Linked DNA regions of Canis lupus familiaris. The protein of the gene in region 2 purifies or fractionates together with the protein of the main gene of each other region. This does not show direct contact. Links are inferred from orthologs where the notes say so. Each region holds a gene or a part of one and is shown on either strand. Other genes may lie near its edges.

The links.
Region 1: the proteins of C-X-C chemokine receptor type 4 (region 2) and TMEM63B purify together in Homo sapiens (co-immunoprecipitation; 3 studies listed by BioGRID and IntAct, with this or other methods). This does not show direct contact. The link is inferred for Canis lupus familiaris from reciprocal best matches to the Homo sapiens genes CXCR4 and TMEM63B.
Region 3: the proteins of C-X-C chemokine receptor type 4 (region 2) and ITCH purify together in Homo sapiens (affinity purification with western blotting; 5 studies listed by BioGRID and IntAct, with this or other methods). This does not show direct contact. The link is inferred for Canis lupus familiaris from reciprocal best matches to the Homo sapiens genes CXCR4 and ITCH.

Annotation. Positions count from the first base shown.
Region 1 is NC_049233.1:12,753,303-12,757,023, forward strand, and holds part of TMEM63B (CSC1-like protein 2), read left to right. Parts: intron 1-3,046; coding exon 3,047-3,127; intron 3,128-3,584; coding exon 3,585-3,708; intron 3,709-3,721. UniProt on the Homo sapiens protein: Mechanosensitive cation channel with low conductance and high activation threshold. Osmosensitive cation channel preferentially activated by hypotonic stress.
Region 2 is NC_049240.1:40,353,757-40,357,779, reverse strand, and holds the start of C-X-C chemokine receptor type 4, read left to right. Parts: upstream 1-1,223; 5' UTR 1,224-1,364; coding exon 1,365-1,379; intron 1,380-3,341; coding exon 3,342-4,023.
Region 3 is NC_049245.1:24,084,135-24,087,855, forward strand, and holds part of ITCH (E3 ubiquitin-protein ligase Itchy homolog), read left to right. Parts: intron 1-155; coding exon 156-313; intron 314-1,526; coding exon 1,527-1,716; intron 1,717-3,306; coding exon 3,307-3,402; intron 3,403-3,721. UniProt on the Homo sapiens protein: Acts as an Acts as an E3 ubiquitin-protein ligase which accepts ubiquitin from an E2 ubiquitin-conjugating enzyme in the form of a thioester and then directly transfers the ubiquitin to targeted substrates.

The DNA.
Region 1 (3,721 bases), on a different chromosome or scaffold from region 2:
TTGAACTGGGTCATGGGTTGTTGACCAGGATCCATAGGCCCCTTGAGATGTGTGGTTTCAAACTTTTATGTGACATGCTGGGGTTTGTGTGCAGACTGGCAGAGGGGAGCTCCTTGGTTTTCACTGGGTCCTGAGGGAGCCCTGAAAACCTGAGCTACATGTTCCCTGAGGCTCTTTTCACCTCTGGAGTTGTTTTGTGGAGAGGGGAGTATACATCTCCAGGAGTGCCAGGTGGTTGGAACAGTGCATGTACAGGATTAGGGATCCTGTCATACATTTATCTGTACACTCAGCAGACTTTTTCAAACAATATTAGGGCTAAGTCACTGTGGTGAGCCTTGGGACCCTAGAAATAAATGAAAGATCATTGAGCACTCACGGGATTCACATGGTGGCGGTTAGCATTAGGAGCTGATGCAAGGTCTGATCAGAGTTTGGTCTGAGGTCGGTCTGTGACCAGAATTAGGAGTTGGCCAGTGGCCCTGATAAGGGACATTGGTGGTCAGAATCAAGGACTCAGTGAGGTCTAGATCCACTGTCAGTTGGCCTGGATCAGAACAGGATCGAGAGTCAGTTTCTTTTTTTTTTTTCTTTTTTTTTGAGAGTCAGTTTCTGGTCAGGTTCAGATCACAGATCCCTTTGTTGCAGGTAAATGAGTGGTTTGTGATCCGCAATAGTGAATGGATACTCATTTGTTCCACATGCATTTATTGTCACCTTCTATACCCCAAGTATTAACAAATTAGAAACAGGCCAGACCCTCATAGAAGTTAAAGAACAGAAATCAAATTTAGATTATCCTCGGTCGGTAGGAGAATGACTTGGGATCCTATCTGGAGTCCAAGCTGTGATCGGCATTAGGGGGCAGTCTGGGTCAGGATTAAGGACAGTGTGTGCTCAGAATTAGGCGACATCTTAATATGACCGTCCTGTTGGGATCAGTTGTCAGCTTGTACTGGTAAGCCTTTAATAACAAATACTTACTGAGTACTTGGCATGTGCCTACACCGGAGTCGGAGCTGGGGTTACAGCAGTAAACAAAAAAAGAAAAAGCCTCTGCCCTCATCGGCTCACATTCTGGTGGGCGAGGCAGATAAGAAACAAATGAATGAGTAATAGGTACCATGTCAAGCAGGGTCAGGTGCCAAGAAGAAAACTAAAGCAGTGAGAGAAACAGAGTAGAGTCAGGAAGAGGTGTGTTTCCATTGGGGAAACATTGGGGTGGGCAGGGGGTCTCTGACAGGGCCCTGCATGCCATGAGGAAGTGAACCCTGCTAACCAAGCATCCATTCAGCACACATTTGTCATACACCTACTTTATACCAGACCTGATGGGTACCTGTGGGGAGCTCATGGTTGAGGCTTTCTGTTTCAGGGGTCAGTCTGTGGTTTCGTTTAGGAAGCAAACTGTGATTAAAATTAGTGGTCAGCCTTTGAACAGGAGTGGGGGAGACTATAGTCCTAATTGGAGCTTGGAGAATATCCCCAAGGAGTTGAGTATCAGGGAGCAATCATCTCATTGATCCATTCGTTCCGCACATGTTTATTGAGCACCTACTGTGTCTAAGCTGTTGGCCCAGGCTTGATGTATGGTGATGTATGAGTAGGGTTTGTGATCCAAGTCTGGGGGTCTGTCTGGATTGGAAGGCTGCCCCAGCAGAACTAGGGAAGATCCTGTATGCAAAATCAGAAAGCCTGCATGGTGGGGATTAGAGGGTTAGGGATTAGTTGGGTGAGAATGAGGGCTCAGCCTGCCACAGGGCTGAAGGTCCTTCTGAAGAAGAACCCTAAAATAGTTGGAACAACACAGCAACAGGGAAAAGGTCTACAGTGCATTTCAAGGACCCCATCCCAGATTGAAGTTTCCAAATTCTCATGGATTTGCATGGTCCACTTTAGAACTAGATCTTATACCTCTGTGACACTTGGTGGTTCTTTATTTAAAAGGTTTTTTTTTTTAAGATTTTATTTATTCATTTGGGGGGATGGGGAACAAAGAAGGGGGAGGAAGAAGGGGGAAGCAGACTCCCCACAAGCCAGGGAGTCCAACATGAGGCTCAATCCCAGGACCCTGACATCATGTCCTGAACCAAAGGCAGATGCTTAACCAACTGAGCCACCCACATGCCCCTAAAAAGTTTTTTTTTTTTTTTTAAAGACAAGGCTCAGTGACAACTGAGTGGCTCAGTGGTTGAGGATCTGCCTTTAGCTCAGGTCTTCCTGCATCAAGCTCCCTGCAGAGGCCTGCTTCTCCCTCTGCCTGTCTCTCTGCCTCTCTGTGTCTCTCATGAATAAATAAATAAAATCTTAAGAAAAAAAATATGTGGCTCAGTCTAGATTAGAGAGCAGGGAGGGAGCAGTGTGTGATGAAAAGTAAAAAGGAACTGCTCCTTCCATCAACAAGCACCTCTCGAGTCCTGCCAGGTACCAGTACTGAGAGTCACAGTTTCCCTCTGCTCAGTTTCAAGGCAAGATTAAGGTCAATTTCAGGTCAGGGTTAGAAGGTCAGTCTTGGGTCTAGGTTATGGGTGATTTGGATCCAGGTAAAGGGTCAGTTTCAGGTCAGGGTTCAGGATCAGTCTTTGGTCAGTCTTGGGGCAGGAGTCATTCTGTAGACTGGGCTATGGGTAAGTTGTAGTCAGTTCATGGTCAAGGCTGTGTTGGTCTGTAACCAGGTATTCTAGAAACAGGGTTAAGAGAACAACCCATGAGTAGAAACAGTTTCTCTCAATTGGAAGTTTAGAGCTTGGACATGGAATCAGCCCCCAGCCGTGGCCTCCCTAGCACCACACAGGTATACAGTCATCCCAGGTCATTAAGGAGTGTGCAAAGTCCCCGTGCCCTCCTATTTCCTCCCGCTACTCACATAAACATGGGGAAGAATTTCAAAGGTTTATTCATATGGAACTCCCATATTTGTAGACCAGAGAGAGGGAGCTTGAATTGGGGATGTAGGTCTTAAAGGTGATGAGGTCACGGCTGCAAGTCGGGAGGGGGCGCTGTTGGGCAGAGTCCCTGCAGAAGATGATGGTGGACTGTGTTTCAGGGAGGCCTATCCCAACTGCACGGTTCTTGAAGCTCGCCCGTGTTACAATGTGGCTCGCCTTATGTTCCTCGATGCAGAGAGGTAATGGGGGGATGACACTGGAGGGACCCCTGCCTATTGTGGAGGGCATCCTGGCTGCCACAGGCACCTGGCTCCCCTTCCAGGTTTTTCCCAGGGCATGTGATTTTAATTCAACCCCTGGAGTGCCTGTCAGTTCAGCTCTGGGAAGAGCAAGCCCTGGAGATTCGAGTTTGTTGCAAGAGGCAAGGTGTCCACCATCCCCACCTCATCTGAGGACATCCCCTTCTCTAGCTACAGTATAAGAAATTTAGGTCAAACCATAGGAAGAATTTTTGGCCCTCAAGGGATGGGTGGGAAGACTCTTGAATGGGGACATATCTGAACCATGCATTCCAAGCTCACCCCCCTGTCCTTAGGGAGTGGACCTAGATGACCCCTGAGCCAAGCTCCGACCCTTCCTTCCAGTCATTCGCAGTCCCAGCTGGGCGGCGGGTGACTGGGCGCCTGGTTCTCACAGGAAGAAGGCCGAGCGGGGAAAGCTCTACTTCACAAACCTCCAGAGCAAGGAGAATGTCCCCACCATGATCAACCCCAAGCCCTGTGGCCACCTCTGCTGTTGTGTGGTGCGAGGCTGTGAGCAGGTATGAGGTGATC
Region 2 (4,023 bases):
TGCAGACTGGGCAAGCCTTGCAGTCTGCAAGCGACCAGCCCGGGGTGCGCGTCGCAGCGCCCTCGCGCCCTCTCTGGCTGGCGCTCGCACCTGGAGGGAGGGAGGGAGGGAGGGAGCGGCCCCTGCAAACCCGGCCTGCCGGGGCCTCTTCAACGTCCAGCCCCACCCCCACCCCCACCCCCACCCCCACCCCACCTCGCCCGAGCCTTCCGCCTAACTTCTCATCCCCGCGGCCGCTCGTGCTCCGCGCCGAGTGCAGGAGGACGCCGGGTACGGGGCCACACGTGCGCTCCAGCCGGCTTGGGATCCCGACCCTCGCGCCTCGTGGCCGCCAGCCGGCTCCGTTTCCTCCGCGTGGGGGCCTTGTCCTCGGGTCAGCGCCGCGAGCAGGGCATCGCACGCCCCGGCCCCCGGTGGGCTAAATGCATCGCTGTTGTGCGAATGAATGAGTGATTCTGTGCAAGTCTGCCTCGTGATCTGTTACAGAAACTACTGTTCGCGGAGCCACCCTCCTAATCAGGCGCACTTACACGGACGTCTGAGGACGGCTGTCACTACCTGGTTGCCTGCAAACACGCACCTACTTCCCCGGCACGGTCTCCCTCCTTGATTACGCCAAATCATCCTACCCTCTTCTGGAAGTGTTTCCGTATTTTGCACACCTGATGCGGGCACTGTTACTGGGGATGGGCGCGTATGCTTACAGACAGTTGTGCTCCGAGGACAGAACCGTTTTGTTTTCTGAGCGGTCTGCATCCGCTGAGAGCGCGGGGAAGGGAGTCACATGCTGGACCCGCGTGGGCATTGCCGCCTACGGGCTGGGTTATGCTGCTACTTCACTACCCTTCTCCGGGCCTCAGTTTCCCCATCTGTAGCATTCCCGGGGCCGGAGTTCCATCCACGTGAGCAAGGATGGATGCACACTGGGTCGCGTAGGTGGCCCGCGCCTCTCACCTCCCTCCGGGCGCGCTCAGCGTTCCCAAGTTGGGGGACGCCTCCGGGAAGCCCTCCACGCGCAGCCCGAGACTCCCAAGGTGACCTCCAGCTCACAGCGGCGGCTCAGGGGATTCCCAGGTTTGCCCCAATTAACCTCGCCGGGGCTGCAGCCGGGCGGGACCCGCCCCTCCCTCGCGCCCTCCTCCCGCACGCCGGCCCCTCTCCCCCCACCCCGCCTCCCTCCTCCCGGCCCCACCCGCCCGCCCATCCGCGCGGCGCATGCGCCGCCCGCCGAGCGTGTTTTTATAAAAGTCCAGCTTCAGCCAGAAACTTCACAGTCTGTTGTTGGCTGCGGCAGCAGGTAGCAAAGTGACCCCGACGGCTTGGGTGCTCCGGTAGCCACGGCGGCCGGCGGGCGAGCGGTTACCATGGAAGAGCTCCATGTAAGTCCGGTTTCGACCTGATTTCCTTACACGCGCAAACACGAAAACTTAGGGCGCGACCCCCCTCGGAGCGAGCCGAGGCGAGCGGAGCGTGGGAGGGGCCGGTCCCGGGGAAGGAGCGTGGAAGGGAGTTTCCGTGCGCGTGGCGACCCCGGAGGACCCGGCAGGATTGGAATCGTTGGCTCTGTAGGGCGAGGAGGAGAGATGCGTGTGTCTCCCCCTGGAGCCTGCGGCGCGCGCTGGGCCGGCACAGCTTGCAGACCCAAGAACGTCCTGCACAGCAGCGGGCGCGCGCCGTCCCGGGACTCGGCCCGAGGATGGCGGGGGGCGGGAGGCGTGGGGGGGGGGTGATTACAGGAGCTGGAGCTAGAGGCGGAGGGCGGCGCGCGGGGCTGAGTTCCCAGGGCGAGGACCGCGCCCCTCGTTAATCTCAGGCTGGGGGGGGGGCGCCCCTGAGGGTGGGCGCGCGGGCCCTAAGCTCTGCACAGCCCGCGGGCTGCGTCAGGACCCCCGCCGGCGAGCAGAGGGCGGGAGAGGCGGGCATCTGAGCCTCGGCCCCGCGGGGAGCGGCCGTGGGAAGCGCGGCGAGCGGCCCCGGGCCCCGACGGCGGAGCGGAGGTGTGCGCGGCGGGGACCCGCGGGAGGCTGCGAGGGCACCTGGGCTGCGGGTGTGCGCGGCGCACACGGGCAGGTGCAGGCGGGGAGACCGTTTGGCACTCGCCGATCCCAAATGCGCTGTTGAACCGTTGGTGGTTTCCTGGAGACTTTTGAAAACCCCTTACCAGGAAGGCTTTTCGTTTCCCCCGGCGGCGCGCGATTCAAAGGCTGTTAGGGGGAGACGCCCATTCGCTCCCCAACACCCTGTGAGCCTGCCCTTGGCGAGGTGCTGGGCGAGACCCCGGGAGCCGCGGCGCCCGCTGGTGGGCGTGGGCGCGGGGCAGGCGCGGAGGTCGGGGGTTCGCCCGCCCCCCCCCCCGGCCTCAGGGCGCCCTCCGCCCCGAGGCTTCCAGCTGCAGACCTCCGACCCCATTTACTGGGTCAGTGGCGGGGTGGGAAGCGGCCCGGGAGGGTGAGGAAATGAAACTCGGGGCGAGGACCATGAGTGCAGACCCCGTGACCTTCCCCTCGCAGTAAATCGCCGCGCTCCCCGACGCCGCAGACGCGCCAAGAGGTAGACGGTCGGGCGGAGAGGCCCGCGCCCGGAGGAGCGCAAGCCCCAGGCGCTGTGCGCGTCCGCACCCTCCTGTGACAGCCCTGTTCACCCCACGCGCCACAGATCCTTCCTTTAAGGCTGTAGCCTCCTTCCCCACTACGTGTTGCTTGAAGTACAGATTGGTTTGTGTTTACATGGACGAGGGGAAGGCAATGTTTTGTGCCTTAGGAGAAAGTTTTGAGGACCCCCCCCCATACTCATTCTTTCCCTTTTCCCTATCCTGGGGAAACCTTCGTATAGAAAATTAATCCCAGCTCCTCGGAACTCAAGCTTCTGTTCCCACTCCTCGCCTGCCCCCCACCCCCACCCCACCTCTCCCACTCCCTAGGGCGCACAGTCTAGGAGTGGCTTCTTTGTGTTTTGTTTTGGTATTTTCCCTCCCAAGGTTTTTTTCTCCCCCCCCCCCCCCGTGGGTGGGGTAGAAGAGTTAGCAAAGATGTGACTTTCAAACACTCAGAATCTCAGCGCCCTTTTGTTCTAAACAAAGGATTTTGTAATTGGTTCTACTTAAGAAGGATATAACAAGTGACTCTGGGGAAGATGAGGAGGAGGGTTGCAGGAATCTATAACAATTCTCTTGTGCCCTTCCATTCACTACTTCATCCGAAGCAGAGTGTCCCGAAGAAGCCTGGGCTGACTTGGGTTTTATAAATTACTTTTTAAAAATCGCAGAAACATTTTTTTTTTTTAAGTTGGAGAATGCCAGCTGAACTAGAAAATTAACATCCCTTCCCTTGCCTCTTTTGCAGATATACCCTTCAGATAACTACACAGAAGAGGACTTGGGCTCAGGCGACTATGACTCCATGAAGGAACCCTGCTTCCGGGAGGAAAATGCTCACTTCAACCGTATCTTTCTGCCCACAGTCTACTCCATCATCTTCTTGACTGGCATAGTGGGCAATGGATTGGTCATCCTGGTCATGGGTTACCAGAAGAAACTGAGAAGCATGACAGACAAGTATAGACTGCACCTGTCTGTGGCAGACCTCCTCTTTGTCCTCACACTTCCCTTCTGGGCAGTTGAGGCTGTGGCAAACTGGTACTTCGGGAATTTCCTGTGCAAGGCGGTCCATGTCATCTATACTGTCAACCTCTATAGCAGTGTCCTCATCCTGGCCTTCATCAGTCTGGACCGGTACTTGGCTATTGTCCATGCCACCAACAGTCAGAGGCCAAGGAAGCTGTTGGCGGAAAAGGTGGTCTACGTTGGCGTCTGGATACCTGCTCTCCTGTTGACTATTCCCGATTTCATCTTTGCCAATGTCAGGGAGGCAGATGACAGGTATATCTGTGACCGCTTCTATCCCAATGACTCATGGTTGGTGGTGTTCCAGTTTCAGCACATAATGGTTGGCCTTATCCTGCCGGGTATCGTCATCCTGTCCTGCTACTGCATTATCATCTCCAAGCTGTCCCACTCGAAGGGCT
Region 3 (3,721 bases), on a different chromosome or scaffold from region 2:
TCACTCTATCCAGGTGGGCTCTGAGGTTATACATAAGACTCTACCTAAAGACTATGTATTTGATGAGACTGGCCAGCAATTTTAAGTTCTGGTCTTGTTTTTGTTAAATTCAAAGAGCATTTGTTTTCCCTTCCCTTTCCCTCCTCCTTATCCAGAACAAACACAAATGGATCAGATGAGCCTGAGGATACTGGGACTGGTGAAAATAGGAAGGTCAATGGAAATAATTCTCCATCACTCTCAAATGGTGGTTTTAAACCTTCTAGGCCTCCAAGACCTTCACGACCACCTCCACCTACCCCACGTAGACCTGGTGTGTATTCCAGCCATGTAATACGGATGTGGCTGTCAGTACTATGATTGTAAATAATGTTCTATTTGGGAATTGATCCTCTGGTAAGTGTTAAGAGATCCTTTTAGGTAGGTTTTCTAGCCATATTTTTACATTTAAGATTTTAGCCAGGAATGATCTTTCTAGAAGTAGACTAATGTGTGCCTTTTCCCTAAGTACCTCCAAGGGGTGAAGTTATTGAGGTAAGTGTTTTATTGAAAAAGAGGGAAAAAATGAGATCCATATGTGCATTATAAAAGTATAGGCAGTATAGATAAGATTTTATCTTTTCAGCAGGGTTTGTAACAGTGTGGACATAGCATTTCATATTGTAAAGGATCTGGTTGCTTATTCTCGTTATATCCTTTAAAAGACATTTAGTAAATGGCGAGTAACCCAACAATGCTAAATGATAGTCACATTTTGAAGCAAAAATTATACAAGTGAACATATTTCATGTAGTAAAAATGTGAACATCTGTAAGTGAATATCCATTTTTCCTGATTAGTCAGGATAGAATCTTTCATCTTTTATTATTTCCCTCTGGCACTATGTAGACAGGCAGTATAAAAGAGTTAAACCAGATATTATTAGAAAAGCAAATTCGTCATCCTACAAGTAATTTTATTAAAAGAATTTGTGTTTAATTATACAACTCCCCCTCTCCCCCTTCTTGGTAGAAAATGTATTAATATATTCCTAGTCTTTAAGATCAAATACTATTTTGTCAAAATATTAGTGACCTCTCCCAGGAATTGTGTCAAATGTTCTTGAATATGTAATATATACTTTATAACTATTTGTATGAATGCTATTGCTTAACAGTCAGGTCTTCTGTATTTTAACATCAGAACTTGGTCTTTGATCTGCAGGGTTTTGTAGAAAAGACAATTTTAAGGTTCTGGAAAATTGCGAAATGAACTTATAATACCAAAGGATACCAGTGCTTTCCTATTCTTAAAGTTTTTATTTCTTGTGGCATCGGGAAATCAATTCGTATGTGCTTTAGGATTAATAAAGAGACATGCAGTAGATGAAACCTAAAAAGTTATTTTAAAAGTTTAATTTTCATCTGCATGTCCACATCTTAAACTTTCTATTTGTCATCTACTTTTTTATTTTTTAAAGCTAAATTCTATCTTGAATTTAGATTTCTGAGAATAAAAGATGGTTGTTTTCCATAAATCTTTTATAGCATCTGTCAATGGTTCACCATCTGCCACTTCTGAAAGTGATGGATCCAGTACAGGCTCTCTGCCACCAACAAATATAAATTCAAATACATCTGAAGGAGCAACATCTGGATTAATAATTCCTCTTACTATATCTGGAGGCTCAGGCCCTAGGCCATTAAATCCTGTACCTCAGGCTCCCCTACCACCTGGGTAAGTAACTGTTTTTAGTTAATATTTGTTTGCTTTAGGCTTCTGCATATATTTAACTAGTAAGGAAAATAATAATTCCATTCTTTAGAAAACCATCTTTAGGGACACCTGGGTGGCTCAATGGTTGAACATCTGCCTTTGGCTCAGGGTGTGATCCCGGGTCTGGGGATTGAGTCCCACATTGGGCTCCCTGGGAGGAGCCTGCTTCTCCCTCTATGTCTCTGCTTCTCTCTCTGTGTCTCTCATGAATAAATAAATAAAATCTTAAAAAAAAAAAAAAAAAAAACCCAAAAAACAAACTACCATCTTCAAACAATGGTAACTGATCTTGAGGGTGTTGTGTCTAGAGTCAGACTGAGCAAAAAAACCTCACCACATTAAAATCAATGCCCTCCTCATTTTCAGGGCAAAGGTGGCTATTTTTTGTTTTATTTTGTTTTTAAATGGAAGGACTCTGAACCATAGAAAGTTAAAGTGCCAAGTAATAAAAGTCACCTAATTCAGATTGTTTACTCTTTGAAGGGGGGAAAAACACTTTTTAAAATAAAATTTTTCTGTCATACAGTCATTATAGCAAAGTAGCAATAACTTAAGGAACTAAGAAAATTAGTACTCCTCCCGTTTTAATCTCTACTAATTATTTTAAAAGTTAGTAATACTGTAATAGTTTCATACATATATACATTGTGGTATTCAGTTAATCCAGAATTTGGAATCTAATTAAACTTAATTGGCTGATAAGTTAATAAACCCTTAGGATGAAAAGAATTTTTTAAAAAGATTTTATTTATTCATGAGAGACGCACAGAGAGAGAGGCAGAGACACAGGCAGAGGGAGAAGCAGGCTCCCCGCAGGGACCCCAGTGTGGGACTCAATCCCGGATCCCAGGATCATGACCTGAGCCAAAGGCAGATGCCCAACTGCTGAGTCACCCAGACGTACCTATGGTGAAAATTTTAATTGCTAAACAGATATTATTTGTCTGGGTAGTTGAGCCATTTTCCTTTTTCAAAACCTACATAGGAAGCTGAATTAGAAAATTACTTATGTAAGGGATTAGCAAACAGAAACCTGTGCTCTCTGAAGTCATGGTACTTCTAAGCTGTGATGGTATATGCCTGTCTTCTTCACTTTGGGAACCTACAAAGGAGACTAGAATACCCAGTTGATTTTGTCTGTTAGACTGTGCAGAGACATATCTGATCAAATCTTAATACTTGATTTCAATTCTGGAACACAAATAGTGCTTTGCCTTTCAGTTAGCTCAATCTTTCTTCAGATTTCGTAACAATTACAGCTTTTTTTTTCCCCCACCAAGTTATGCCATGATCAGATTGAGGTAGACATCGTCTCCTACATGCATCTGCCTCAGACCTCTTGAGGAATACAGGGCATCTCTTGAGGAGATACTGCTGCAGGAGAAATCTTATTCACTCAGGATAACATTTCTTGACTTTATTCTTAAATTCTTTTGGTATCTTTTTTTTTATATATTGACATGCTTATTTGCCTCAATTCTGTAATATGGTCATTTTAGAGAAAATAGCAAAGATAAGTGCCATACCAGTCTTTTAAATTTTGTATTTAAGTTGGGAACAGAGAGTGGACCAGCATGGGCGAGTTTACTATGTAGATCATATTGAAAAAAGAACAACGTGGGATAGACCGGAACCTCTACCTCCTGGGTAAGTATCTGAATAAGAAGAAAAAAATATTCAGAACTATAGATTATATCTGTACAAAATCTTCCCTATGTTCCTACTTTTCCTCTTCCTTTCAGTCTCTTCTGAACTTTCCACAAAGTTTTCACTTTGTGTTGTAGTAGATGCAAACTAGAAAGGAGAGAATTGATTAAGCATAATGAATGACTTATTTTTATTCGTTTCTCCCCTAAAGATTCCATAGGTCTTATTTTTTCCATGTTTCCCTTTCTGTATTTTACCTGGCTCAAACCACAGGGTTTTACAATTAGTTTCTTCAAGAGTAATTATTGAATAAAAATTA